Diceros bicornis minor: one gene and its partners. The protein of the gene in region 2 purifies or fractionates together with the protein of the main gene of each other region. This does not show direct contact. Links are inferred from orthologs where the notes say so. Each region holds a gene or a part of one and is shown on either strand. Other genes may lie near its edges.

Region 1 (7,024 bases), on a different chromosome or scaffold from region 2:
ACGAGATGCGATGGTGCTTCTCCTGTAGCTGGGTGGCCAAGTCCTGTAGCCGCCGGTTCTCACGGCCCAGCTCCCGTGTGCGTGCCCGAGCCGCCTCACTGGGGGGCTCACTGTCCCCTGAGAAGTCAGGGCTCGGTTAAGAGCCAAGTCCAGGGCAATGGGGCAAAGTACTAACTCATTCTGGAGTCTGCTATGTGCCCAGTGTGATCCACCAGCTGTCTTGCCAATTTCTCATGACAAAGCCAGGAGTCTTTATCCCCACTGTACAAAGGAGGAAACCAGCTCAGAGAGGAGAGCCATTTGCCCAGATTGCCCAGGCTAGAGTGACAAAACTAAGGCTGGGAGAAGATATCTGACTGCAAAGCCTGGGCACTTGCTGCTATGCCTTGTGGATCAGCAACTGCCACCAAGATCTGTGTACAGTGCTCCAAAGAGGTCTCCAGCCAGAAGGGGGTGGCCCCACCAGCATCAGCTCCTCCCACCCATATCTCTAGAGCTCAACTCCAGGATTCACAGCTGGAGCCCCCATCTACAACCTAACTCTTCCGCTGAGAACATGGCTGATCTAATCCTTGGGGAATTCTGGCTGCCTTTGGGCTAGAGGCATTGAGGAGGGGATACTGTGAAGATGCAAATTGCGATGGACATCTCTAGGGTGAGGGCACAAAGAACTAACCTCGGCTGTATACTCGTTGACACAGTTCCTCCACTCGGCGCTGTAAGCGGTCTGAGGCCTCTACAACACGGGACACGGCTGCTTTGGAGAACTCCATACGGCCCTGCAGCTGCAGCTCCACCTCCTCACTACTGCTGGCACCCAGCGCCACCACAAAAGCCAAGGCTGGCTCGCTGAGTGGGGGCCGCAGCTGCATTGGCAGGGTCTCTGGGAAGGAAGGACACACTCTCATGAGGATAAAGGCAGCAGTTACCACCACTCTGCACCAAGTTCCAGACCAAGCCCTTCAACACTCTATGGCTCACTGAATCAACACAACCAATGCCTGTAGTACACCGTTATCCCCATCTTGAAAGTGAAACAACTGAGGTTCAGGGAGGTAAAGTAATCTCCTCAAGCCCACAGAGCTCCCAAATCACTTCCTCAGGGAAGTCTTCTCTGCCTCTCCAATCTAAATGAGAACCACACACGTGTACACACACCCTAATTCCCATTCAAGGAGCCCTATACTTTTAACATATGGTTCAAAATCACTTCCTCCCTGGTGGCAAAAACAGTATTTCTTTTTGCTTATTTCTGTCTCCTCCATCTAGAACGGGGCCAGGGAATTCAGGAGCCTAATATCAAAGTCCCCTCCTCTCCAGGACCTTTCCCAGAATTTAATTAAGCTCCCCAGATCCTACGGCTCTGGCCCTACCCGACGTCCCTGGCTCTGTAAGAGGGGTCTCATCACGTGTTGGCCCTTCCTGGGTCCCAGGCGCCTCTGTCCCTGAAGACAGCTCCCCCTGGCTCTCATGGTGTCTGAGAAGAGCTTCCACAGTTTCATCCAGCTGAAGGGAGAAAGCACCAAAAATGTTATGAATCCCTCAGGTGCTTCCCCAGCATGATACTCCTTTCCCAGCAGAGGAGTCTGAGGATTGGCAGCTGGATTAAGGCCAGGTCGTGGCAAGCAGAGGGGCATCCACCTGGGCCCAGTAGCGGTTGACAATGAGGAGTGTGGCATCATCTGTGGCCTGCCGCTTCTCCAGCTTCTCAATTCGTTCTCGGAGTTCATCTTCACAAGCCTGTCGCTGTTCCAACCGCTCTGCTAGTTTCTTGTTCTTGAACTGCAGCACCTTCAGGTCCATCTCCTCCTACCAAGGAAACAAAGAAGCCAAGGACAGGATCAAGCAGGGCCCAAGAAACCAACCAGAGAGAGACAGAGGAAAACAAATGGAATGGATGGGAAAGGGAGACTGCTCCCCAGACTGCTAGCAGGATTTAAAGAGGCTCAGGTACCCACAGAGAAAGCGTCTTGGTTGTGAGGCGGGTCATGTTCTCCTGCCTCTTTCTAACTCTGAAGTCTCTGACAAGTCACACGCGCACTGGGCACCTGTTTTCCTATCTGTAAAGGGAAGGCAGACGTCATGTCCTCGGTTTCCCTCAACAGAGTGTTCTGTAAAGGGGCTCTTGCTAAGCTTGGGGGACTGGGAGTAAGGTTCCGGAAGATTTGGGAGAAGAACAGAGATTGGAGTCTGGCAAGTTGTGAGGGCTGGGGCAGGAGCCCACGAACCGTGGAAGAGATGCCCCCAAGACGAATGGGCTCTATAAGTGTGGTTGTGGTCTTCTCCTCACGGCTGAGCTTCTTCTCTGGGGGCCCCGAGCCCCCGTCGCCGGCGGCGCGTTTGTTGCCGGGCCCAGACATGGCCGCGGCGGCGAGGAGCGGCGCAGCGTCTCCCGAGGGACGTCAGGCAGGCGGAGGCGGCACGTCTGTCACCTGCAGAAGACAGAGCGCACAGATGTGGAAGCAGCCGGTGCTCCGCAACCCCGAGCCTCCCCCGCACACAAACGCTGGGTCCCGCCCCGCCGGCCCCGGGCCCCTCACCGGCAACAAGATCAACCGAGCCCCGCCATCTTGGACTTCACCGGACGTCACCGGCCTCCCCAGCAGAGAGCGCAGGCGCCAGAGGCAGTGCCGGATGTGGCGAACCTCCTTCATTTCCTGTTTCTATTGGTCGCGCTTTGTCCCGCCTCTCGGGTCCGGTCTGGTGTCTTCCTGAACACTTCCTCTTTCGCTCGGTGATTGGCCAGTAAAGGGTTCCCATGGTAACTGATACTACACTTTCACTCCCTAGCCCTGATGACATCGCCTGCCTCCTGTTAGCCACTTTGAAGAAAGGGCAGCGGGACGGGGCTTGCAACTTACTACGCATGCGCACTCTCTTTTCACTGATTGGCAAGCGCTTTACACTTTCACCCTTCCTCCACGAGACTCCTTAGCAACGGTCACCGTTGAGACCGAGGGAGACGCCCCTCGCGCATTGGCTGCCCCTGGCGTCTCTGCAGCATAGATTGGCTGAAGCGTCGTTAAAGGGCCAGGCCTTGGCAGTCGCTGCCCGAGAACCGGCTGTCCCGGAACGGAGGCGGGACCGCGGGAGGAGCGACGAGATGATCCGCCAGAAGTCCAGCCAATTCCTAGGACTCAGAATGCAGTCGGAGCTTGAAGAGCCCTCCGAACAGCGGCGGGAACCCGACAAAAACCTCAGCTCAGTGGATGAATCGGCTACGCGGATGGGAACAGATGTGCGGATCGAGTCGGGGACCGCGGCCTCGGTGGAAGCAGATGATGATCCTGCAGCCAACTTGTTCCCGGTGAGGGCGGGACAGACTGGTCCTCTCATGAATGTTTATAAAAAGGCTCCCCAACAGGGCGTCACCCGTCGTTATGTTTACTAACGTTCGAGACATTTTCCGGGCTGCCTTAGTGAAGAGTCAGGGGTGTGTGAGCCCGATTGTTAATACGCTCATGAATAATATGTAGGTCCTGCTGAAGCCCAGCCCGCCAGCGTTGCTTGTACATAGTCCTTAAATGAGAAGTTAGCTCGTTCTCAGGCCCGCTGGATATTCGCGATGGGCCAGGAACTAGGGGCCAGGGACAACATAGCTCTGCCTTCCCCAATCCGCTTTCTTTCCGCAGCCGCCGCTGCCCCAGCCCCGGATCTGCATGTGGTGAGTGTGAAGAACCTCGGGAGAAAGTTACACTTCACACTTGCATTATTCCTTTAGTGCTTCCCCAACAGTCCTATCAAACAGCCAGGACATCCCCATTTTACAGATAAGGAGACCAAGGCCCAGAGATGCAATTAGCCAAGGGACTAGAAGCCAGCTCTCCTGCCTTCCCACTCCAAAGAGAGTGTGGGAAGAAGGGAGCCAAAGACTGAGGATGTAAGTGGAATATCATAGCCACTATGGAGCATTGTACAAATGGGGACACTGAGGCCCACAGGGGGGTACTTGCCCAAAGTCATACAGCAAGGGAATGGCAGAGCAGAGATAAGAATTCAAGTTTCCTAACCCTAGGCTTTATAAACGAAGAGAATCATAAGAGTTCATTTAGGCCATACCCGTTATTTAGAGATGGAGAAAGTGAGGCCTAGAGAGGGAAGTGACACAATTGCCTAAGGTTACACAGCAAGTTAGTGGAAGGGCCAAACCTCAACTCAGGTTTCCTGGTTCCCAGCCCAAGGCTCTGTCATGAGACTAATGCATAATGGCCACCAACACCTTTTCTCCTCTTTTCCTGTGACAGGAAGTACTTGGACATCCATTCCATGCAGAGGCTGGAGAAGACAGCCAACGTTCAGGAGATGAGGGAGTATGGGGGGAGGGGGGAGAAGGAAGGGGAAGAAGAGCTCTTGGGAAGGCGGAGCAGGGTGGACTGGGAAGGCATGAGGAATGTTTGGCTCCAAAGCATGTGGTGCACTGGGGGGAGGGGGGTGCTGAAGGGAGGCTCCCGTTGTCACTCACTCCCTCTCTCTCTCTCAAGGGTGCTGGCCAAGCTGTTGGGGCTAGGCGGTCCTGAGCAGAGCCTGCGGGATGCCATCACCCTGGACCTCTTCTCTCATGCACTCATTTTCTGCCGCCAGCAGGGCTTCTCACTGGAGCAGACATCAACCGTTTGTGCCCTGCTCCAAGATCTTCACAAGGCCTGTGTTGGTGAGAGGAGGCGGCTACTGGAGGATTTGAGCTCAGGGAGAGGAGGCTGGGATGGCACAAGTGACCATGGGAAGTAGAAGTAGGGGGAATGCCACTGGGAATCTTTGTTCTGTCATTTCTAGCACTATTATCACACACAAGTTATTTCTCCTTTGAAATCCTCCATTTCCTTATCTATAAAACAAGGATATAGCACTAAATTTATGAGACTGTTCTGAGAAATATGTAATATATGTAAACATATTCACAATGCTCAATAAAATAGCTCCCCCCTTTATTTTCAGAACTGATTTTCTTCAGAATGTTTAACAAGAGCTGAAATTATGTGCTGTTGGTTTATTATATGTCGCTTCCACTACAATATAAGCTTCATAAGGGCAGGATCTTGTCTGTCTTGTTCAGTGCCTAGAACAGTACATAGTGGGTACTCAATATTTGTTGCGTGAATTAACAAAACAAGCCAGGACTTAAACCTAGGTCTGTCCACTTCTAAGGCTCATGCTCAATAAGTAGCTGTTGAGTGAAATGAATGACTGATTATGACGGAGGGGACTCATTTGTCACATCTTGCTTCCCCTCCCAGCAACCCCCCTGGGCAACGTGGAGGAATGTTACCGCTACTTCACCAGTGTTCTTTTCTGCCATGGAGTCAGGGTCAGTTCCCCTGGAACTGGAACTTCACTCTCCCCCAGACAAGGTCTAGTCCAATCTCCTGCCCTCTCTCACACTCATCACCCTCATCTTCCTCTGAAGGCCACAGTGGGCTCTCCCCGCTCCTGTATTGCGGGGCCCTTGGAGAAAAGGCCAGGGCTTCAGGAGCTGGTCAGTCGTCTAACTCCTAATCATCCCCACAGCGGCCCCCCTTCAGTATCAACCTCTTTAAGGAGGAACAGCTGCTGGCCCTGGCAGATTATGTGGTCAACACCTACTTTCGCCACTTCAAGCTCTACAAATATGTCTTCACACCCCAGGTACTGGGCCATGGGCTACAAGAGGCCACCCCTTATCTCCCCCTTTCCCTCAGTGCAGATGCCCTCCTCTCAGCCACCCTCCTCCTCTTCTCAGGTGCGGTTGGATCTATCTTTGACTTACATGGGGCTACAGCCACCCAAGCTCGAGCCAGAGGATGAGATGGGTAAGGGAGAATGCTGGGACCCGGGCTGGGGCTGGGGCCAGGGCCAAAGCCTCTTCCTGCTTCTGGCTTGCAGAGAAAGAAGGTGGCGAGGAAGTGGAGGAGCAGGCAGTCACCCCACAGGATGAGGAACCGGAAACAGTGGTCCAGGAAGAGCCAAGTGAGGACCTGAAGGGGTTAGGGTCCTCTGTGACTTTGGGCAGGTGTAAAATGAAGGGTTTAGACCACATTGAGACTTCAGACTTTTTGTTTTAGTCATGGTGTCCTTTCTCTAAATGATTTCTTATGCAGAAGTCCAAGATGACAAACAGATAAAAGCACAGTCGCTGGGGTGAGGCAGGAGTTCCAGAAAAAGATGATTATAAAACTGATGACAATAATAGCCAGCACATACTTAGCAATGCTGTTGCCAGGCCCTGCTTTAAGCATTTTACATATACTAACTCATTTAATCTTCCTTCAATCCTAGGTGCTAGGTGCTATCATTATCCACATTTTACACAAGAGGAAACTGAGGCATGGAAAGGTTAAATCTGCCTAAAGTCCTGCCTAAGGTCCCACAGCTACTAAGTAGCAATCCAGAAATTCTGGCACAGCCACTCTGCCCACCCCTCTCTCACAGAAGGGCTGGCGGACATTTCCTGAATTGAAGCAACATCGCCACCTGTGTAGCCCCCAGGGGACTCTGGAGGTTGTGTTGCCCAGCTAGGGGCAATCCCTTAGCCCCAGCACCTCTCCTGACCTGCCCCTTCTTCCCTGTCCCTGCAGGCCAGGTCTCCATCCTCCAAGCCTATATCAAGACCCAGCTGAACAAGGAGCTGGGGCAGCTGCAACAGCTGGTGGAGGAGCGGCTCAAGGCCAGTGAGGACAGGCTCAGCAGCAAGTTGACTGCACTAGAGCAGCCTTCCCAGCTACCTGCAGGCAAAGGCAAGAGCAAGACCAAGTGACCCTCAGTGTTTCCCCAATAAAGGCCTGGGCCAGAGCAGCTCCATCCCCGTCCCACTCCTCCTGAGCACCTTCTGGGCTTCCCTGCTGAAGCCAGACACCAGACATAGGGCACTGGCTCTACCTGGCAGGTAGCAGATTTTATTGCATACGTGGCACAGGCAGCACTGACAAGGCCAGGCGTGGCCTTCTGAATGGCTCCTTTCCACTTTAGCTTTGACCACAAAGCCCTGGCCAACGGGGGCAGGGTACAGGGCTGGTCCATATGGTAGTATGATCAGTGGTGGGCCTGGCCA
Region 2 (7,597 bases):
TTGCCTCAGTTTTGACTTTTCTGTCACCATGAAATCTAGTACCAAGCATATCATAAAGTTTGTTCTTCCTCATCTCAGACTTTGTAACTTATTTTTATCTCTAGAAAGTCAGTTTGCAGCTAAAAATCATTCACTATTTACAAATAAACAGAAACTCTAATATTCATGCAGAATCAAATTTTTACCCTTGCCTAGATGTTAGAGTTAGTTACCAGAGTACTACAAGACAGTCCTTATTTGAAAAGTGCTCACAAACTAATTAATGAAATTTATTCATTTTAATGCATTTTACTATAACATTAAAACATCAGTATTAAACTTCCAAGAGTAAACTTATGGTCAACCTACCAGTTTTTTAAATAGACCAATCAGTCTTTCCAAGATGGTTTTATATATACGTGTATATATATATACCAAGACAATGTTCCATTTGCATATGACCCATTTCAGCTATAAAATAACAGATAGGATTTGCCAAAAGACCCAGAAATGACTAATCCAGAGACTTTTTTTAAAGACGTTAAAAAGAGAAATAACTTTTTAAAGAGTTCCAAAAACATGAGCTCAACAACCAAATTATTAAATATTTTTACCAGTTCTGTACACATGAAGACACTGTCAAATTTGTAGTTACCAAATTACTTTCCTTAAAACTGTGAATCAAACTTTTACTCTACACTATTTCCTTTTTCGACTAGTTTCACCTGCTAATTGCAAGTGGCTCACATATAAACCAAACTGGTTTCTCCAACTCACCAGTACCATCTCATTCCTGCTTTCTTTTTCCCTTTAAATAGGAGGGGAAATCAGCGTGAGGGTAAAAATTTGCACATTCTGCTGTTACATAAATATCTGAGCCTCAGTTTCCTTTTCTTTAAAATGAAAGCACTGAAATCACTCAAATTTACGGACTTCCTGTATTTACTTAATCTCTAAAATAGATCTTTAAAATGATTTACAGTAACTCTGTCAAAAAGCGAAAAGACTTTCATTTGAAAAATACCAAACTTTACAAAGTTTAATGCCGACAATACACAAATTGCTCCTATCATCCTGTAATGTTAACAACACCAATTATTACTCAGTATACCAAAAACATAACATTAGAGAGAAGCAATATCCATATAAATCATACCCAGATTTAAACTTACAGGTTTCTATTTTATGGAAATCCACATTTGTCTTTTCATGAGGTGTTAATAGGGTAGGTGAATTAGGAATTTTTAAGTGTTCTTTAACAAACAATAGGAAGCAGGAGTTGATTTCCTCTTTAACAACCCACAGGCCAACATAAACATGTGTCGTAAACATAAATGTCATAGGAAATGTCCAATTTCCCCACAGTAACAAACATCTTAGGAACACTCCAATATGAACAATAACGATTATTAAATCATATTTTTTGCTGTAATGCAAGAAGTATATGCTTACACCCTTAGAGATTTTTATCATATAAACATAGTATGCAGCCTAATGAAGTGGGGAAAAAAGTACCAAGACTTAGATCAAAGTACTTCAATTCAAGTCCCAAGTCTGCCATCTACTAGCTTACTTGAAAATTATCCCAATCCCAGGGCATTTTTCTAGAAGTAAAGGGTGGTGATAAGAAGGTAACTAAAATCTAATGTGATAAATAGAAAAATCTTTTAGAATATTTCACCGAATGTAGATAAAACCCCTATAATGAAATTATTATTGTCCATTTCATAGATGAAGATACCGAGGTGCAATGATTTAAATTAACTTTCCTCAAAGTCATACTGCAAGTTAAGCGCTGGAACGGTGGCCTGACTCAGGTCTAAGTCTTATGCTCTCTCCACCAAGCCATACTGGAGTACATGACAAAATACTGTAAACTATATACCCCTGTTACGGTGACACTGGGAAGGGAAAATAATTTTTACTATAACAAAGAGGCACATTATCTTTCCTAATAGAGCACCTTCCCTTTATGTTACATATTCACACATCGAAGTTATTCCGGATACCACTTGATACGGCCGACAAGTATTAAAATCTCCACATATCTCCTTCAGTATTTTAAGTATATCCTTTGGTACTCTACAAGTTTGAATACTGGCAAGAGACTTAAGCCTCAAGCGGACTTATCTACTTTTTGCAGGCCTACGTTATCCCTCAAACAGGAGGGAAGGACTGCACTTGCAGGAGAAACGCTACCGGTTTCTCTCGAGCCTCCACTAAAGCACAAGACCACGTGGTATCGCTCAGCAGCCCGAGGTTCCCTACTCCTCTCCCTCCTTTTGACAAGGAACTGGAAACTAGGATTTCTTTCCCTGAAGTGGCGCCCTGACACATGCCACCTGTGTAGTACGAGCCGCAAACATCCTGCAGCCTGCCTCCCGGAAGAATACAAGAATCCGAATAATAGGGAAGCTGGATGCCGACGAGGCCGGCAAAGGAAACGACTGGAGGAGCGAAGCCGGTGAGCCCGTGACCCGCCGCGGCACCGGGACCTGTCAAACCCTGAGGGACTCACGCCGAGCGGCTGAAGCCCATCGTCCGGGAAGGCCCGGGGTGGGAGCGGCACTCCGGAGGAAGGAGGACGGGGAGAACCGCAGGAGCCGCCGCCGCCGCTCCCCGCAAGCCTCTCAGCACGCCCCGACAGGCCACCAACCCCGGGCCTCATCTCGAGTCCAATCTTTGCCCCCACATTTCGGGAGTGGCCAAAATCCTGCTGCCCAGAGCGGCCGCCGCCGGACCTGCCCGCACCTGTCACCAGCGAAAGACACCAGCCCGCAGTTCCCGCCCTGCTCCCCACCATCCTCGGGCCATCGCGGCCACCTCAGCCCCTTTCCCTCACCAGGTGTCCCCTTTCCGGAGCGAGGTTTTGAGCAGAGCCGCGATGTCAGACCTCTGGATGTCCAGATCCGCCGCTCCGCCTTCCGCCATCTTCTTCCACTAGCGGCAGCGGAGGCGGCGGCGACGGCGGCGGCACGCCCCAGAGCATTGTGGGAATGGCGTCCCGCGGCCCCGCCCAGCCGGCAGTCGAAACCAAAAGAGCCGGAAGGTGGGGGGTGCGCCTCGGCACAAGAGTCGGCCCCGGGGCGGGCTGAGCGCGCTGCTGTGGTCTGCTGCCCCCCACCGGCCCCCGCCCGTCCAGCAGCTCGCCTCGGCCTCCTCGGCCCGGCCCGCCCGGCGCTAACTCTCCGCCGTGGGGCCCCGGTCCGCTCCCGCTCGAGCGGTGCCACCGCCCCGTCCGTCCTCGACTTCTGCCTCCCCTCCCTCTTTCCCACAGACGCCCGAACGCCCTTATTTGCGCATTCACTCACGCTCACGGTGGGTGGGGCGGGGGCGTGGGGACGCTAGGACATGGCAGAACATTTCGACAGCTCCGTGACTCTGGGCTTTTCGTGCGAGCTCGCTGAATCTTGGCCCAAACAAAGAACGATCCGAAACCGAACGCCTGGCCGCAGTGCCCTTCCTGGGCTCCTTCCAGCGCTCCTGCTCCTGCTGTGCGGGGACCTGCCACAGGTCATTGTGCCGCCTCCCCAGGCACACCCAGACCGCCAGCCGCGGTGAAAACACGTCCCACTTCCTCGGCGGACAGGGTGTCAGATAGGTATCGAATGATGCGGAGTACCGAAGGGGAAGAAAACGCGCGAGAAACCCTTTCTCCTCGATGTCATAAAGCGACGTATTCTTGGCCGCAACTCCCCGTGGTGTGTGCGCCTGAAACTAGATAATAACACCAGCTATTTGAAGCCAATTACGTTACAAATGGGGAAATCGAGTCTCTCAAAAATCAAATGCCAAGGTCATACCGTAAGTGGAGAGGCAAGTTTATACCCCAGGTTCCGAAGCCCACGTGCTATCTGTTCGCTACAGCACACTCACTACCTCTCCCTGCGAAAATCGGAACTAAAATGTAAACCGGGCTGCACTGGATCCATTTTTTTTTAACCTCTGTACAGCCGGTGGCTAGCACAGTGCTGCCTAACATGTAAGAACCACCTAAATGTTTGTTTGTTTAATAAATGAGTTTTGGCAACATGAGGATGTTCAGAGATTTGACTCTATTAAGATAACATAGATGATGTGGGAAGTCTAAAAGATGGTTAAGAATTCCTGGATGATCTCTCTTGTTTCCCCATTTTAATGTCTGCCTCAGCTCATTTGGTGGGAATGATGGGTGTAATTATGCTAGTACGAAGTCCTGAACCCTTCCAAGTTACAGTAGTGTTTGTTGGCATTATGATTTGTATGCATCAGCGTTATAGTTGCTTATTTTCTTCAAAATAATACTATTTTGTATTATGTCATCCTTGATTTGAGAATCTGAAAACAGTTTCTAGTTACTGCTATTTCTTATACTATTTGACTTCTGACAGGTTAAGAAATTAGAGTTTCTCTTACCATGAATACCATCACATTTCCCCCCTTTCCCACCCAACCTCTGAAAGAGAGCAAACTAATTTTCCAAAGAGAGGCAGCATAGTATGGGAAGAATATTGGAGTCATATGAACGTGTGTTCAAACCTCATCTCAACCTCTAGCTGCAAAGTTCTTAACTTTTAGTTTAATCATAAAATTGAGGACAGTAAAAATCCTTACAGGATTTTTATGAAGATTAAATGAAACAACGTGTTTATTGCCTGGGACATAATAGCCAATTAATAAACACTAGCATTGCTATTGACAGGATGAGTTGTATCATATGTAAATTGTATCTCAATAAAGCTGTTGAAAAAGAGCACTATGGACTTTGAAGGCAAAACCATGCTTTCTATCATTTATACACATAACATTATCAAGAAGCGATGCCTCAAGCACACTCTGCTGTTCAGTTTCCTTTCAAAGAAAATGCATTTTTGAAATGTTGAAGCCTGTATCCGTGCAACAAATTAAAATAACTTTTCTTCATTTGCACCATGTTCAAGGCAAGGAGTTAACTGGATATAGATGTGTAAATTCAATGTCAACTTGAATTATATGTCAGATTTGTGAGGTCATTTTGTTGACCTAACTAGATGTATTCGGAGTCAGAAAAGAACTGATAGTTACAGTATTTTATTTAACATGCACTTAAAGAGTGCCAAGCCCAGTTCTAAACACTTTAAAGTGTTAAATTAACTTGATCCTCATAGCAACCCTGTAAAGTCGATGTTATAATTTCCATTCTGTAGATGGGGAGTTGAGGCCAAGGGCAGAACCCAAATTTGAAAATGAGCAGTCTAGCTCCAGAATCTAGAAGGTTTGGGTAAGTTTCTATTTTTCCACTGACCTTTATGATTTTGATTCTAGCAATCAACTTTCTAGTGACCTCAGTTTACTAATTTATGGAAATCTGCTTGTTTTACTAATGCTTCTTCTACCCTCAATTATGAAGAGAGATAAGGTGTTGTTCATAAATACTAAATTAAGGTCCGCATCGCTACTGAATCACTAAGTAGATAATTGATGAGAAATGTTACTTTCCCTTAAATTACCCAGATAATTGAATATAAACCTGGGGTTATATCTGCTTATTTTTATTGAGCATCTTTGTAACCACAGGCACACTTAGAGCCAGTTGGAGCAGACCCCATCTCTTATCAACAAAGTGATTAAGGATTGTCTTTCAGAAAATCTGCAAAGTCGTGTAGCCAGAGTATGCGCAGAAGAAGAATTCTTGACCTGAAATGACAATGGAACCAAGGATCCTCCTCCGCATGGAACCAAAGGATCAGAACACGACTGGAACTTAAAAGTCAGACTCTTATCAGAAGTGAGGAGTCCCTCATTCAGGAAGATCCGGTGTTAAAATTCCTTCCCCACCCTATCATATAAGTTGAGAAACTCATCATAAAAGTTTAGAATGCTGTCATAAATGTTTAGAACCTTACCATAAATGGTTGAAGCCCACCAATCAAAATCTGTCCCACCAGCATTTCCGCATGCCAATCTGTTTCCGTAACCACTTAAATTTTGCCCCAAATCCTGAGTCCAGGAGACAGATCTGAGGGCACATGCCCCCTTCTCCTTGCAGATCAATCTCGCAGAATAAAGCTGATTTCTCCCCCAAAAGCTGATGCCATAATTAATTGTTTTTTTAATGCATATCAGGCAAGAGAACCCCAATTTTGTGTGGTAATGTCTTCATTGATGCTTCATTGATTGCTTAGTTAACTTTATAAAGATGTACTATTTGTTTGGTGATTGTCATTACCTTCTCAGACTTTCTGTACCCTTCTTGTCCATTAAAAACTTGACTTAGGGCTTTGAGAAAGGAAAAGGAGTGTGCTGGATGCTTTAGAAATTAGGCTGGATATGAACAAAGTGCACCTTACATAAAGGCGGAGTAGGTTCTGAAATTAGAGATACTCTGGGAAAGATCCCTTCATCTTTCAAATAATTCCCCTCTCAGCTCGCTGATACGTAAGTGATCTTTTTCAGAGAGGTTCTTGTACTCCACAACTAAAAGATAGGACTTCAAATATAAACACTCCAGGAGAGAGTCAGGCTTACAACTGAGGAGTCAAATGAGAGGCAGTTTTCAACCTGGGATGGACCACAGAAAGAAGAAAGAACACTGTGTTTTTTAATAGAGTTGAATGGAAGAAAGTACAAAGGAGAATTCCAAGACAACCTTTGCCTACTTGACAGTTTTGTATGGCGCTGGCTACACAAATCTAGGGAAAAATCTGCCAGAATCAACACATTCCCTAAAAGAACAATGATTGATGACCTAGCTGTCTTTATTTCTCAACTCTTCCTATCTTTGGTCTTCAGGAACCACTGTTTCCCTTTATCCTTCTTCCCTGTTCTTCCTCTAGTTGTTCCCTCTGATTACCCCCTCACCGCACCTCCCATTCCTGTTCACCTCTCTAAGCCCTTCATTCTTTTCTCTTTCGTAATTTTATAACTCCCTCCTCCCTTGACTAGCTCTCTGAACAGCTAAAAGGCAGTGGAAGCGGGGGCGTAGTGCAAATGCCAAAACAGCATGTAGTAAAGTGCTTAATCCATTAATGAGATTTTGAAACTTGCGATATGAATAAAAATTGTAAGTGCCACGATGCCGTTTTTAAAACTAAAATATATATATATACACACACACACACACACACACACACACACACACACACACAGAGGCTCTTTATTTCAGACAAATGTTAGGTCCTGATAAACAGAAAGAAAAAGTAGTGAAATGAATACAATGTCTTGTACAAAGGGCCAGTATACTTCGATTTTGCTTCTGGCTTGGTGCCACTAACTACCTGGGTAACCTTGGCCAAGTTATTTAATCCCTGTGGGCATTAGTTTTCTCGTTATAAAATGAAGTGATTAGATTCTTCCAGGGCTGAAACTCAAAGGCTTGCAAGGGTTAGATAGAGCTACGTAAGTGGGTGAAGCAAATCCGTTCTAAGATAGCAAGGAGTTGTGGGGACTCCGAGGAACTGTCTGACCCAACTAAAGTTATTTAGATTAAAATATTTGAACAAAATTACATCTCCTACCCTAAAGGACCTGGAAAGTTTCATTTTAACATGGGCATGAAGTCTTCAAATTGATTAATTTGAGTTGATTAATCTGAATTGCTACTTTATATTTTGATTAATAATCAAAGTTCAATCAATAATCAAGTAATATAAAGTTGCTA
Region 3 (7,246 bases), on a different chromosome or scaffold from region 2:
TGCCTGTCTAATACCTGCCACATAGCAGGCTACAATATATGCTTTATAATATAGTCATGCATTCATTCATTCAAATGTGAACATTATCACCAGAGTGAGCCATCCTTAGAGTAAGTAAGAGGTCATAGTTTTTCTCCTCTGGTCCCTTTCCAGGAGGGCTATGGCTTGTTGTAGACGGAAAAACGAGCTCTTATAACTCCTAGTGGGATAAGCAATCAGACGGTTTAGAATTTCCAAAAGTGGCAGACGGTTTAGAATTTCCAAAAGTGGCATCAACTAAAAACAAATGAATGACTGGTCCTATTTAGAAACCACCTTAGGGCGTTTGCTTTGCATCTAGAACCTGGGTGATATGAGTACGAAACAGTATTCAAAGGGTTTGTAAAGTAGATGGCATACTCAGGTTAGAGCAGTGGTTTTCAAACTGGGCTCCTCAGCGTGCCTTAGAGCCAATCAAGTAGGGATGCCAAAGTCAGCCAAGTCTTTAGCTCTCTCGCCCCCCAAAACAGATTTTTAACCTTTTATCTTCAATATACTGGCTTACATGCAAGATCCCACTTAAATAAAGGGGTGCATTGTTGCTATCCTTTGAGGCAGTGTAGGAGCTTAATGCTAACTGAATAAAGTCTGCAAAAGCCCTGCCTTAGAAAAGCTTTACAAACAAGAATAATGAAGAGGCCAAATCTAGTGACTTGGCCTTGGGCTGCTGCCCACCTCCACGCTGCCCCACCCATCGTGACTCCCACTCCCCCCAGTCTCTCACCTTCTACACACTTGGGCTCACTGTCCAAGGTCCGGGTCTTGCAGCGCAGCCCTTCTCCAGTACCGTCGATCCAGATATACATAGCTTGGACCTTCTCACCCTGAGGCAGGGACATGTACACCTGCTTGATGCCTTTGTTCAAGTGGGAACTCGCTGAGGTGGCCATGGTGGAAGATGTTCTGGAGAGAAAAAAAATGAACACTGACTTCAAACTGATCCTCTGCAGGAAGGATACCATAAGGACAATTGAATCAAGAAGTCACAGCGGGAGTGGCGGCCCCTCCCTTTGGAAGTCCCACACTCAAACCTATATTTACTTACTCTGCTTTCAGGGGGATTAACGTTGCACATTAGATAAAAATCTCCTTTATAAGCTTCCTCAAGCTACAATCTACACTGGTGGGAACTAAGCTCTATTTTCTCAGTGTAGATGAGGTAAGGGAATTGTTTTACTTTTTATACTAAGATACTAGGGGGAAAAACACTTCAAAAAACAAAAAAAAAAAAATTGGGGCCGGCCTGGTGGCGCAAGCGGTTAAGTGCGCGCGCTCCGCTGCGGCGGCCCGGGGTTCGCTGGTTCGGATCCCGGGCGCGCACCGAAGTACTGCTTGGTAAGCCATGCTGTGGCGGCGTCCCATATAAAGTGGAGGAAGATGGGCACCGATGTTAGCCCAGGGCCGTCTTCCTCAGCAAAAAAAAGAGGAGGATTGGCGGATGTTAGCTCAGGGCTGATCTCCTCACAAAAAAAAAAAAAAAAACAAAAAAATAAAATACAAAAGTTCAGAAACAAAGCTTACAGAACAGATATCGTCTCCCAATACAGGTAAAATCCAGCCACAGAAAGGCTTGGCTGCTATGGTTTCTGGGTGAGCCTTCCCTTTTCCTTGTAGCCTAAGGGGTGTCTTATCACGAAGATGTAAAAAAAAAGCTAATTCAAGTTGGATTCTAAGATGCACACTGCCATAATTTCCATCAGTCTGAGGTGAAGTTGTCGCTTCAGAAGGTATTTTAAGTTTGACAAGGGCATTCTGAGATTCCACTAGGGCACTTTTCAAGTAATTCGGAAATTCCCTTTTCTAAATCAAAAAGATCTGAGATTTCAAAAGCTGAGGCATGCTAAAAACTGAAAGCCACCACCACAAAACCTCTGAAACTCTGAAGCCACAAAACCAGCCTCAACAGGAGGAAACGTTCTCTCTCCCCCTCCCCCTCAGTGGCCCAGGGAGACTGGAGAGGGAACACATTGTTCTCCTCCAATGACTTGGGCAACTTTCTGAAGTACAGTGGCAAAGTTTCTATGGGCAACCGTCCATGTTTGCCCAGCTGAAAGCAACTGCTTCTCCCTCAAACAGCCTCACCCTTCCCCTGGGGGAACGGGAGAACTTCGTCTGTCAGGTCGTGTTAGAGGAGAACCAATACCTGTTGGTCGGTCAAATCCCACCCCCAACCCTGTCTTTACCAGAAGGAACAATCCTCATCCCTTCAGCTCCCACTCAAAGCTACAACCCACCCTCCAGCTTTCCTCCCCAATCTGTTACACCTCCATCAAGCCACACTTCCTCCCATAAGCCTCGGTTCGGATCTCCTGCTCTTTTCTGCGAGATGAGTCGGATGACAACAGCCTAGTCTACTCTATCCACCGGTGGCGCCGCGGTGCCAAGTTTACGTGGTGGGGAGAAAAACGCGATTCTGCAGTTTTTAGCTGTTTTTGCAGCTGCCGCCGGGTCCGGAGTCGTTCTCCCTGCCTCCTCACTCACCCCAGCCACAGAAGGTCAACCGTATCGTTGGGGTTGCCCTCTTTAGCCCGTCTCCTTTTGGAGCTGCGTTCGCGCCTCTCCTCCTTCTCCGGCTCTTGATGGTCCACGCACCGGAGCTTTCTGGGCGAGGGAGTCGGAGACGGACAGGGAGACGGCGACGGACAGGGAGACGGGGAGGGAGTCGGAGAGCGATCGGGATCCCAGCGGGACGCGCAGGAATACGCAGGCTGGTGCGTCAAGGTCTTAAGCTTGACTCGCGATGTCTCTCCGGAGTTCACTGAGTAGGCGACGAAGCCGAAGCAGTTGGAGGGGGACTCGGAGGACTGGGACTCCAGGTCGTCTTCATCTTCGCTCGTTGTCTTCTTCGCGGACTTGCGGCTGGGGGAGGATCCCCGCTTCCCGCCCCCGGGGCAACCGGAATAATCCATTTTGAGAGCAGCCTTTTCCCACTGAAATGTCCCGCAAGTCGGCGCGCCCCGCCCCTCCGGCCGCCGTCGGGATCTCAGGGCCTCGCCCAGGGGGCCATAGCCCTCCGAGGGCCGAGGCTGGGGGGGGGGGTGAGGGGGGGGAGTGGGGGCGTCGGCGGGAGGGAGAGCGCGCCGCGGTTGCCTCTGCCCGGCCAGGCCTCTCCACCCGCCGCGCCGCGGCCCGGACTCCGCATTGTTCAGTCACAGTGGAGGGTCCCCGGGACCCCGCGCAGAGGCTGGCCGCACTAACCACGCTCACGGTCATTCGCCTCAACGTAGGCATCTAAAGGGTGGTCAAGACCACGACGATCCCCAAGGCCCGCCACCATGGAAGAATCAGGCTCCCGCGGGGGGCCACCCGGCCACTCCAACCACAACGCACACAACACGGCCGAGCCGGGGGCGCAGGGCCCGGCCAGTGGCTCCCCAGCTCGCCCCGCCGAGTGACCTCCAGCGATGGCGCTTTGGGCCGCAAGCAGCGAAAGCAAGATCAAAACAACTCCCCGCCCTCCTCAAAGCCTGGCGACGGGCGCGCCCACAATCGCCAACCCAGAGCCGCCGCGAGTTCCAGGCGGCAGCAGCACGCGGGCGGGCCCGCAGGCCGAGGCGCAGAGGAGGGGCCGGAGGCGGGAATGGGCCGAGCCGAGCCGAGCCGCGATCGGAGGCGGCGAGGGCGGCGCGCGCCACTTGGAAGCCCCCCGGGCCGGCCGGGCGCCTACCTGGACGGCGAGCAGGAGACAGGGCGGGCAGGCCGCGAGAGCGAGGTACGGAGCGGAGAGGAAAGGAGGCCGCGTGTGCTACTCAAACGCTCCACTCTTCTCCCATCCTCGGCTCTGCAGGGAGGCCCGCGGCCCGGCACCCTTTATCGGCGGCCGGGGCCGCCCCCGGCGCCCTGATTGGCTCCCAGCGGCCGGGAGCGGGCGGATCAGCTGATGCGCGCCCGGGCACCGCGGCCATTGGCGGAGCAGCCGTGCGGGCGCCGCCGGGGTGGGGGCGAGCGGGCCGGGAAAGAAAGAAAGAAAGGGAAAGGGCCGTGGGGGAGGGGCGCGCGGGGGAGGGGAGCGGAGGAAGGCCGGCTGGCTGCGTGCGGAGGGCCGGGTTCCTGCCGAGAAGCACCCCGCCTGCCCCGGATGCCGCTCCCCGCCGCGGGCCGACCGCCGGCCCGGGGCCCTCCCGGTAGCCCCCGTCTGTCCCCGGGTCTAGAGGCGCCCAGGAAACCGCCCCTGGCCTCCGCCCCTGTCGCCTTCAGGTTGGTCGGTTTTGCAGGAGACCCTCGCTTTTACGAGGTCATACTGCAGAGCCCAGAGCTCCGAGAAAAATGACCCCCGGGAACAGAATTTTGCCTTTTGTTGTTAGAGAACCTCTGGCCCCCCCTCCCCGGCGCTCGTCAAGTTTGAGCGGGAGCGCGGGGCGCTGGGCCCGGGAAGCCCTGGGCTGCCTGGGCAATGGCGCGGGCCTGCGGACAGGGCGGCGCAGAGAGAGGCTGCCGAAGGTCGGCCTGGAAGAGCCCCCTCCCGGCGCTCAGTGGCTTTGGGGAAGTGAACAGAAGTTTGCCATCCCACATTTGTAATCAACGTGCTGTGTTTATACTGCTTTTCAAGTTATTTATTGCGCCTTCTTTTTAATCTGAAAAATGAGAATCAGTACCCGTTCTTACTTTCAGCCTTGCTGTGATGGTTGAGAAAATGTGTATGTGAACACAATCTTGAAATGGATGCTTGTCAACAGATGCACAATTGTATGTGCATTAATGCAATAATTAATTATATACACACATACAATATTTTCATTGCTACTGGTGCTGTTAGTTCATTATTCTATTTTTATTGCCTGAAATCCACCTGATGGTGTCTAGCCTTAATTGCATCTTTCAGGAGTCCCAGTATTTGAGATTTTTCTGTTTGAAGACCAAGAAGTCATGCTGCCAGTGCCTTTGGAAGAGGAAGGGAAGAAGTTTGTTCTTCTGGTTATTTTTTGTACCACAAATATGGAAAAGAAATGTTGCCTGTGACCACACACACATAACTTGGCTTCTTTGGTCAACATCCCTTCCCTTTAAGAGTGTATCTAACACCATAGTGCTTTAAAATGACAGATGCAGCATTCATTGCAAACACTGGGACTTTTGGTATGTTTCAGACGGGTGACAATCTGGACTGGGTAAGGCACCTTGCAGGTGTAAGGGACACCGTGTTAAGTTTCCATGCTGCATGTTGAAGCATTATGAGGTGATGCTTAAAGGCTGGGCTTCAGTTCAGACAAACCAAGGTTCAGATTCGGGCTTCACCTCTTACTAGCTTTATATTGGCTTAGTGACTTAGCCACATGAAGCCTCAGTTTCCTTGCCTCCAAAATAGCTACCTTGTATATTGTAGGGAGTGATTGGGATAGCATATGCAAAGGAGATTAGGATAGTAGCTAGGACTAGTAAGTATTTAGAAAACAGTAATATCATTATTATAGGCCAAAATAAACAGAAGAGATTGGATTGTCTTTCCCCATAACAACCCTTAAGTACAACTTTCTAACTCAGTGTGATGTTCCACAGTTAGTTTTATGAGAGTGGGCTTGGACCTGGTGACAGAGTGAGCTGTCTTCATTCCATTTCTTTCTATAAAATCTTGAGTTTCAGTAGTTGAGAAGAGGGAATGGAGGAAGGGAAAGGTGATGCTCTGGTTTTAAAAACATGTTAATTTCCAGATGCCAAACTGCCTAAGCATAAACCCGAGCCTTCTACTGCGCTCATCACCACCAGCACTTGAGGTGGGGATGGCAAACATACTAGCAAATGGACTAGGAAGCAGCGAATGCGGTTTTTTAAGCTTATGGCATCATATTTTCCCTTGTGAGTACCTGCTTCCCTTGCTAGGTATACGAACCTCCCCGAGCAGCTTATTCATCTTTGTATCTCCCAGTGGTGTCCAGGGTGAGTGTTCAATAAGTGATGTTTGTTGACCACACAGAAATGACAGCGGCGCCATCAAGAGAACATGTGCTTTGAGCTGCTTTTCCAAGAATGGGAGCAGATTTGCTTTGATCCATTCACGTGACCGGGTGCACACTCAGTGAGAGTTAGGAAAGTAATATGTGACCACTGAGTCTTTCAGGAGGGAACAAGAGGCCTTGTCCTCCTCAGGCAGCCCCATACTTACTTAAACCAACTGAATTAGGGCCCAAATAGGTCCAAGGACTGATCAGGGAAGCTTAAAAGAGTATGAGGGAAGAAAAAGCAGAAGAAAGTCCTTTGACTAAGAGTTTCGCCCCCAAAAACCCAGACTGTGCTTTTAGAGAAGTTAAAGTGGAACGGCCTGTTTCATCCAGTTTGACTTGGCTGTGTCTGCTGCCCTTTATTCTCTTTCTTCTTCCCTAAATTGCCATCCACCCCCATTCTCCACCCCCTCCATGAGAAGAGCATTAGAATGCTTGAACCCATGAACTCTTCTGTCTCTTGGTATACCCGGTGTCAAAGCTCCCAGGGGACTCTATTACATGTGCTTTGAAGTCAGGTTTTTCTCTCTTAGATAGAGTAGCTATGTCCAAGGGGTGGGTGGAGTGCGGGGGCAATATTACAGGTACATATTTTGTTCCAAATCTGCAGAAATGCCCGGGGACTAAAAGCATTTCTTCAACATTGTTCTGTTTCCTGAAATAAAGGCCTTGTCTTGGGTGGGCTTTACCTGTGAATTCTTCTCTCCATTTCTCCTGCTTTTTTTTTTTTTTTTTTTTTTTTTGTGAGGAGATCAGCCCTGAGCTAACATCTGCCAATCCTCCTCTTTTTTTTTTTTTTTTTGCTGAGGAAGACGGCCCTGGGCTAACATCTGTGCCTATCTTCCTCCACTTTATATGGGACGCCGCCACAGCATGGCTTACCAAGCAGTGCGTCGGTGCGCGCCCGGGATCCGAACCAGCGAACCCCGGGCCGCCGCAGCGGAGCGCGCGCACTTAACCGCTTGCGCCACCGGGCCGGCCCCCATTTCTCCTGCTTTTAAGAGACCGTTCTCACTCTGCAGGTTGTAAGCCCTTAACCTAGTGATCTGAGAGTGTCTTCTCAGGTCTGTGTGTTTGCCTTACACTCATTAGAGACAAGATTTGGGGTGGGGCTCAAACACACCTAAACCTTCAACCGTAACGTGCAGTTTGGGAAATGGAGTTTTCCCTATATTTAAATAATTTCAACAGGCATTCAACAAAACCCTTAACCCGGGCTAAAGAGACACAGCTGAGACCCAGGCTTGAGGAACACCCTGGAAACCCAACCC
Region 4 (7,805 bases), on a different chromosome or scaffold from region 2:
TTGTTCAATAAATGCAAGTTATTTGTTGAATAAATGCATAACCTCTCCTGAATTGGTTTTGAAATCTTTCTATTTCACATTTTCTGACATACCTTGGCAATACTCAGTGGAAAACATCTTTCCTCTTACAGAAACTAAGAGCTTAAAAATGGCTCCTCTACTCCCATCAAAAGACAAGGAATCCAAAAGACATGCCCCTCTCCAGCCTCTAAAAATGACTCTTGTCCCAAGAATATGAATAAACCACCATCTGCCAGACTGCACTAAATACAGCTTTTATATGCATTACAAAAACACCTGTATAAAAAAGCTGCTACAAAACGAGGCCTTTGGAACCCTAAAGTACAAAACCAACAGAATCAAAACCAAACAAGAATAAGCAGGGCTTTCAGATCTTTATAAAGCCAAAACTGAAAATATTTGCAAAAGGTAAAATTCAATAGGTCTTTGATCAGCAGATTATGCAGCTAGAGTGTTTTTCACTCACATATTTTTCCCATTGTGAAGCAACAAGATTATAGCAACACGATTCCAATATTTATAATACAAAAATGAAAAGGGGACCTTTTGCCACCTTCAAGTAGAAACAACCTTTGTTCCTATTAAAGAGAATTTCTGCTGAAATATACAAAACCATCCCCAAATTCTTTCTTAAGAGTTAAAACACATACCAAGCCTGACAAGCCACAAACAACAGGAAATTGCCCTGCAGTTTCTTACAACACTATTATTTCATGAACCTTACAGATTGTGTAGAGATTTGAACACTTATTACTAGGTACAGGTAAGTTACAACCTTGAAAAACCAAACTTTTGTTTAACACCTATAACCTGAAATCACTTTAGAAAGCATAGCTACAAAGTATAAAAACCAAGCTTTAAGAGCAATTTCCTACTAAAACAAGCCCAGAAACGGATGTTCCCAGTCACATTACATTAATTAAAATTGGCCAATGAACTACTTTAAACTCATTTAATTTTAACATTAAGAGTATAACGGGGCACTTACCTTACACATGCCCACACACTTGAACTATTCTTATTTACTACCACAACTAATTTTACGGCAAAAACTAAGGAACTTTAAAAACGAAATTAGCGTTACTTTCTGAATTTAATATAAATGTTTGCTAAACGACCTTTTGGTGGAGAAAATTCTATCAATATCCCATATGGGTTTTTTTAAGCAAATGAAAAAATTCTCAAACTACAATACATTTATGAAATCTACATTATTTTTCCCATCTCTGTTCTATTTGCTTCACTTATTTATCTGGTCACGTTAAAACTCCTCAAACTTCATTTAACTATTTGATTTACACTTTCATGTAAGGAAATCTTTTTTTAAAAGGAGGTCAAAACCAGAATGACAGCAAATGTATTTTCAGAGTACTGACAGCAAATTTATCATCTTTTTAGGCTTAAGAAAAACATCCTTACAATCTGTGGTACAGGCTCAATTCATATGAAAACAGAAGCGAGAAAATGAAAAGGAACTAAGATTACAGAATCACTCAGAATTCTAGAAATTAATTCAAATTTCAGGGACCACTTTTAGAAAGATGGAATTACTCTAAGTCTGCGTGATCATTTATTTATTCATTAACAATTACTTTACATGTGCCGTTTTAAAAGTTTAAAACACCAAAATTTAGGATACTCCAAACTGTAACAAATAAGACATCGCTGATAGAAAATACTACTTCCAAATTCGTTTTACATGGAGATTTTTTTAAATAAAGGTTTAGTTGACAAGAAACCGGTAGTATTTAGCTTTTAAAGGGTCAAGAGGAAGGAATACCAAAACCAACCTAGGTATTGTTTTTCTTTTGTTTAGGATCAAAAGGAAACCACAACCACATAAGGGTTAAGTCAATAAAACACAAAAATACCCAACCCAAGGACAGTATCCCCCAGGAGAGAACAATTAAAGTTGCAAATTTGAAACCGAAGTTTGAAATACGTGAAATCAATTAGCGTGCTTTCTAAAGGCGTGTGACAAAAACTAACAGGCTCCACTCACAGAGCAACTTTCACAAGTGAGCAGAGAAGAATCTCGACAGAGTACCAGCACCAGTGTGCGTGTTTGTGTGAGAGCACACACAAGCAATTCGGAACCCCGAGACTACAATGGTTCACAAAGGTTACAGGACCAGAAAAAAATTAAAAAGTGGAAGCAAAGCAACACACGCTCGTAACACGGCTCCCCAACAACTCCTGCAACAACAGCTCTGTCCCTCCGGCTTTGAACATCAGGACCAACTACCAAGTGTGTTGGCGGCGGAAGGGAAGGGCCACAGCCGGCCCCGGGCCCGGCGGGCGGGCAGCTCCGGGCGCCGACCCCTTCCCGCCGGCCGACCGGCCGGCCCCGCGCTCCGCACCCAAGGGCCGGGCTCGCGCTGCCCCGACCTCGCCACACCCCAGCCCCCAGCCCGTGGCCATGTGACGCGGCGAGCCTCACGACTCGAGCCCAACACAAACACACCCCCGGCCCCGGGGCCCGCCGGGCGCCCGGCTGTACCTGCACCGAGGCTCCGGGTCCCGCCCCGTCAGAGCCGGGGGTCCGGGACCTTTTGTTCCTTCCTCTTCCGAATAGGATGAGGGGAAAGGGGAATGGGCGATGGGAGGCGGAACTGAAAACACTCTCGCGGTCGCCCGGCCTCCCGCCCCGCCCCCCAGCCAGTGCCCGGCCCGCGGCCCCGGCGCGCGGGGAGGGGGCGCGGGCCCGGCCGCCGCCCGCGGGGAGGAGGGGGTGGGGACGCGCGTCCCGCCGCCGCCGCCCCTCCTCCCCTCGGGCGCGCGCCCGCACCCCCCACCTCCTGGGCCGCCCGGACAGCCGAAGCTCCGCCGCCGCGTCCGCCGGCCCACCTCCGCTTCCGCCCTGCGCCCTCCGCCGCCGGCCACAGCGGCGCGGCGCACCCACCTCCGGGCGGCTCGCTCCGCGCTCGCTGGCTGCTGGCTGGGAGCTGCTCCTCCGCCGCCGCGGCCGCGCGGTAGACCCGCCTCCCACCCCGGGCCGCGAGCCCCGCCGATTCGCCGGCGCAGCTCCGGGGCTGGCACCCTGCCGCCCGCTGATTGGCGCCCCCGGCCGCCCGTTAGGGCGCGAGGCACGCCGGCCGAGCGCAGCGCTCTGCGCTCACGGAAGACGGGGCGAGCGGAGGAGGGAAAAAGGAGGTCGAGCGCCCGGGAAGGGCCGGGGCGCGAGCGGGACTCGGAGAGTCGCGGGCTACTACCTCCCCACCTCCTTTCCCTTCGGCCCGGCCCGCCCTCCCGCCGGACTGGCGGCGCGGGCAACCAATCAGCGCGCGGGGTGCTCGGGGTGTGAGCCGCGCGTCAGGGGCCTCGAATCGGAAGGGAGACGTCGCTCGCTGATTGGTCCCGCCTCCCCCGTAGAGCGTGAGGCGAGGCGCGGGCAGGCGGGCGGCCCGGCGGCCGAGGACGAGGCGGGGTGGGACGGCTGCGGTTTCGGTTGACTTCGTCTCCGGCGCGCTGCACGAGAGGCTCGGGAAGGGAAGGGAGGGGAAGGCACGTAATCTGCGGCGCTGGCGACCACCCGTCCCTCATTGCCTCGGCCCCGGGCCCCCTCCTCGGTGTCTCGCCAGCGCCATTGGGTGCGGCCTGTTGGGGGCCGCCGCCTGGTCCACCTTCCGTAATCAAGCCGGGCGTGGATACGTGCTCATCCCCTGGGGAGGCCCGGGGGCCGCCCGGAGGACGGGACGAGTCAGGGCAGAAGGCGGCTCCGCAGAAGCCGGGGTCCCCGACCCACACTTGGCGCGCCCGTATGCGAATGAGTGGGCGGGGCCGTGGTGGTGGTTAATGGGGGCGAGGTCCGAGAAGTAACTAAGCCCAGGGCGGGGCTTTTATGGGTATTAGGGCCAGGGTAGGGGATGCCAGGTATTTTTGTTTAACCGGAATTTTGGTTCTGTCTAATGGTGTTAATCATGCATGCTCTGATGGTCCTTGCGAAGTCTGAAAGATAAGCGCCTAGCACGATGCCCCGTGAATGCTGGGTTATTTTCTCCTTCATTTCTCCACTGTTCAGACGAAGTTCTTAAGCCCCAACTTCCCACGTCTGCGCTACAAGGCCCTAAGCTGCTGGCTGCCTGAAGCTGGTGGGGGCGTAACCGCACTCGGGTAACCTTGTCGCTTGTACCTTACGGACACCCAAGCCTTCGCTGAAATATTGAACCCAACTAATCACATCAAGTATTTATTAAGCACCTACTATGTTAGGCAGGGAGCACTATAGAACTAAAGTTGGAAAGAAACTTAGGTCTCACAGAGGTGTTGGTGGCAGAGGCAAGACTAGAACACGGTTTTCTTGCCTCCCTGTCAGCACTCCTTCTCGTGTACCTCCTTTCTTCATGGATTTAATTGGGGACTCAAGACGAACAAGCGGGAAGGCGGCACTAGCAATACAAATCACTAAGCAGGAAGTACCAAGTGACCATTTCAAACAGTAAGAGTTGTTGAAGTGTCCTCTTTCTTTTCAGAAATGAACGCCTCCCGGGGAACGATGCCTTCAGATGGACCTGGAGAGAGACGGATTTAGCGATCCTCTGAGTCTTACAGGTTTTCCAGATTTCCTTTCAAAATCTCCTTCATTTCCACCATCTCTTTCCTCAAACATGGAAGTACTTTTCTCATCAAAAGATTGTGATGAAGCACATGAACCCTGGAGTTAGGCAAATTGTAGTTTTGAATGCAGCTCTGTTCCGCATCTGTGGTCATTGGCAAGTAGAACTCACCTGCACTGATAGCTATTTAAATATAGTTGTGGGATGATTAAGTAAAATAAGAAATATGAAAGTGAATAGCACGAGTCTTTGAAGTTAAAAGAAAATCCATAATCGTTATGGTTTCTTCCCTTGTGTTGCCTGCATGCATTTATGCTAAGATGAACCTACTCAGCAGAAATTTTTCCTTCAGAAGTTTACCTCGGGGGTAGTTCTTCATTGTCAGTTTAGAGGCAGCTCTACTCACTGCTTTTTAAAAATAGCTCATGAAGGAGGCCCCGGAAGCCAATTGGTGGAGCTGTTACACCTCCCAAGACTTCTGTGTCCACTTCCCAGAGCCACCCAGGAGGATGGTCTAAGGCAAAGGCTGTTTGATTTAGAAGTAGAAAGACTGTTTTGGAGTTTTTGGTCCTTCCTGCTAACACAAGTCAACAGTTTTAGTATGAAATGGCCTATAAAAAGCTACCCTGGGTCACACAAATATTTTCTCCTATGTGACCAGGGTGTGCGTTTGGGTGTCCATGTGGGTGAGTAGGAGAAGAAACAAAAGCAGGGCTAGCCAGAATTCCAGGAGAATCTGCTCCTAGTGTGGGAGTTAGGTACTTTGAGGGATACGTTAATACAGTGGATAATATGCTTAATTCTAAGTTAGACCATGTCTCCAAAGTGTCAAACTTTGGGTCCCTAACCCTTCCATTTAGGAAGCCTTCCAGGATCTGTAGGATTGAGGAAGGAGAGGAGCAGCATCTGGCTACCAATGCAATGTGCTAAGGGCTTAGGAACCAGAGCCTGTCTACGGTGCGCTCTGCTAGAAATGCATCTGAACCAAAGTGGGTCAAGACAGAAACTGGCAGTGGATGTAGCAGGATTGCCGTGGCAACAACCAACTTGGAAATCCACTAAGGTACCTCAAGACCTATCATTAGGTCCCTACTGTATGAATTATGTTGAGTGAGTCTTATTTTTATGTGGATAGACACCGAGTTTAACCCTGCATCACGCATGACACTGCAAAATCAATTAAATCAAAACCAATTCAGAATCCATTTAAAAGTAGTGAAATGTAATGGAATGACACCTGAGAAAAATGATAATGGTGGTTGCTTCTAGAAAAAGAACCTTGGAGTCATGAGTGGAAAACTTAAATTTCATCATTAATTTTCTGTAGTTTGAATTAAAAAAACATATATATATATATCCATGTATTGATTTTTCAAAAGATAGAACTCATACTCCATCTCCTCTCTGATAAATCTGAAAAGCCTTTCCTGGTTACCCCAGCCGAAAGGATATCACTATCCTATGAATGCTCTCTAATGGTTGGAATAATTTACATACCATGACTTCACTTTGATTAGTGTCTTGATCTGTTAGTTTAGTCTTGAGGGGTTTTTTTTTTTAACTTTACTTGTGTGTATGTTTTGTCTCCTCGTTTAGATTGTAAATTCCTGAAGGGCAAGGACAGCATCTTGTTGTCAGTCGTCTTTGCACACCCTAAGATAAATACTAAGTAATTGAAGAAAGGTGAAATTCAACATTTGTGTAGTGGAAAATGTGTGTCATAGGTCTGCAAGCATTCTTTCCAGCTTTGCTCCGTCCTTAATACAACTGTAGAGTATCATGTCAACATCCAGTCTCTATATTTGCTTATCCTGGTGGAACTAAGTTGTAGTGAGCATTACTACATCTTAAAGGTCCAGTTATTTGCAATTGAAAGGACACTGATTAAATGAGATAACCAAAGTAAAAATTGTAAAGAGCAAATGTATGGGGTTACTTTTGTCGTAAATGATAATGAAGAACTCCGACACCAGCTGGGTTTTTATCTCGCTACAATGGAATTTCATGTTTTAAATGAACTTATGTTGAAGATGTATACACCTGCCTCTACACACACACACACACACAGTCCTTATTCACATGCTGGTTTTTATTAAAATTAAAAAAATATTTAACATCTGATGGGAAAAGCTGGAGACAAGAATAAAGTAGATACAAGAAAAAAATTAAATTCAGCAAGTGTTTATCAGGTATCTGTTTTGTGCCTATCATAAAAGCATTGGTTGATCATGCTGGAAAATTCTTATTTTATGGCCAAAATCCTCAAGAAAACAAGACATACAAGTAAGGTTTTTTAGATTTATAGAGAGAAAGAGATTGAAAGAGAAGTTGGCTCTGGTTGAGAGAAAAATATTTGGTGAAAACAAGTTACATTTCGCACCATTCTCCAGGCGTCTGATACTTAATATTATATTTCTTGTCCATGTATTTAAAGGCATAAATAATCAGTGAGTCAGTTGATCATTAGATAGCTAATCCAATGATTATTCAAATATTACTTGGAAAATTACAATACAATTTCAGTGCAATGAGCACTCCCATAAAGGTATTTAAATATTATCTGACATCTACATATTTTGCAAAAAAAACTAAACGGGCCAATGTCTAAACCGTGAGAGAACAATGTACAAATTGTTTACAGTTCTCTTGTAAGGGGGGACAATTTGGTAGTCATATATCAACAATAGGGCCTTATGCCTTGATGATTATTGTCTGTGTGTGACAATATCGACTGAACCAGAGTGCTGCTAGGCAAGATAAGTGTATGAAGGTATAATACTCTTGGAAAATTTCAAGCATATTAGCATAATTGCTCTGATGAAGACTGAAGAGCTTATTTAACATAACTGACTAGAGTAGACAATAGATGCATAATCAGTATCCTAATGATTGAATTAATGAGCCCCAATTGTTTGTCCTTGCTGTAAACAGTCCTCAGCTATGAAAAAGACATTTTGCTGAAGGAGTCTGACAATCACGTTAGCTAATGAGTGGCCAGAATGTAATTAATGGTGGGAGAGAGCCAATTACTATTGGGTCCTAAAGACTTCACTGGTGGATTTCAAGGGATAAATTATATAGCTATGTAGAAGTTTCACATTGGCTCCTCTTTGCCTTCATACAGTCGTGGAGCTTGATCAATGCTCTTATTTTGCAGCTAAGGAAACAGGCCCAGGCTTCTCCCAAGTCCTATGCCCACTTAGTGCCGGAGATTATGCGTAGTGTCTA

The links.
Region 1: the proteins of USP15 (region 2) and RNF40 purify together in Homo sapiens (affinity purification with mass spectrometry; 4 studies listed by BioGRID and IntAct, with this or other methods). This does not show direct contact. The link is inferred for Diceros bicornis minor from reciprocal best matches to the Homo sapiens genes USP15 and RNF40.
Region 3: the proteins of USP15 (region 2) and GLUL purify together in Homo sapiens (affinity purification with mass spectrometry; 3 studies listed by BioGRID, with this or other methods). This does not show direct contact. The link is inferred for Diceros bicornis minor from reciprocal best matches to the Homo sapiens genes USP15 and GLUL.
Region 4: the proteins of USP15 (region 2) and SMAD2 purify together in Homo sapiens (affinity purification with western blotting; 4 studies listed by BioGRID). This does not show direct contact. The link is inferred for Diceros bicornis minor from reciprocal best matches to the Homo sapiens genes USP15 and SMAD2.

What each region holds. Positions count from the first base shown.
Region 1 is NC_080765.1:21,217,832-21,224,855, forward strand, and holds the start of RNF40 (E3 ubiquitin-protein ligase BRE1B), read right to left. Parts: upstream 3,005-7,024; 5' UTR 2,541-3,004; intron 2,433-2,540; 5' UTR 2,361-2,432; coding exon 2,229-2,360; intron 2,195-2,228; exon of another isoform or gene 1,959-2,194; intron 1,810-1,958; coding exon 1,642-1,809; intron 1,507-1,641; coding exon 1,374-1,506; intron 884-1,373; coding exon 677-883; intron 118-676; coding exon 1-117. Other genes in the region: CFAP119 (cilia- and flagella-associated protein 119), read left to right, coding at 3,104-3,307, 3,633-3,664, 4,245-4,310, 4,482-4,651, 5,235-5,786, 5,860-5,943, 6,552-6,730.
Region 2 is NC_080756.1:7,670,016-7,677,612, forward strand, and holds the start of USP15 (ubiquitin carboxyl-terminal hydrolase 15), read right to left. Parts: upstream 3,008-7,597; 5' UTR 2,911-3,007; coding exon 2,822-2,910; intron 1-2,821. UniProt on the Homo sapiens protein: Hydrolase that removes conjugated ubiquitin from target proteins and regulates various pathways such as the TGF-beta receptor signaling, NF-kappa-B and RNF41/NRDP1-PRKN pathways.
Region 3 is NC_080743.1:84,977,286-84,984,531, reverse strand, and holds the start of GLUL (glutamine synthetase), read right to left. Parts: upstream 3,018-7,246; 5' UTR 2,949-3,017; coding exon 2,521-2,948; intron 943-2,520; coding exon 764-942; intron 1-763. UniProt on the Homo sapiens protein: Glutamine synthetase that catalyzes the ATP-dependent conversion of glutamate and ammonia to glutamine.
Region 4 is NC_080755.1:40,633,156-40,640,960, forward strand, and holds the start of SMAD2 (mothers against decapentaplegic homolog 2), read right to left. Parts: upstream 3,007-7,805; 5' UTR 2,924-3,006; intron 2,606-2,923; exon of another isoform or gene 2,522-2,605; intron 1-2,521. UniProt on the Homo sapiens protein: Receptor-regulated SMAD (R-SMAD) that is an intracellular signal transducer and transcriptional modulator activated by TGF-beta (transforming growth factor) and activin type 1 receptor kinases.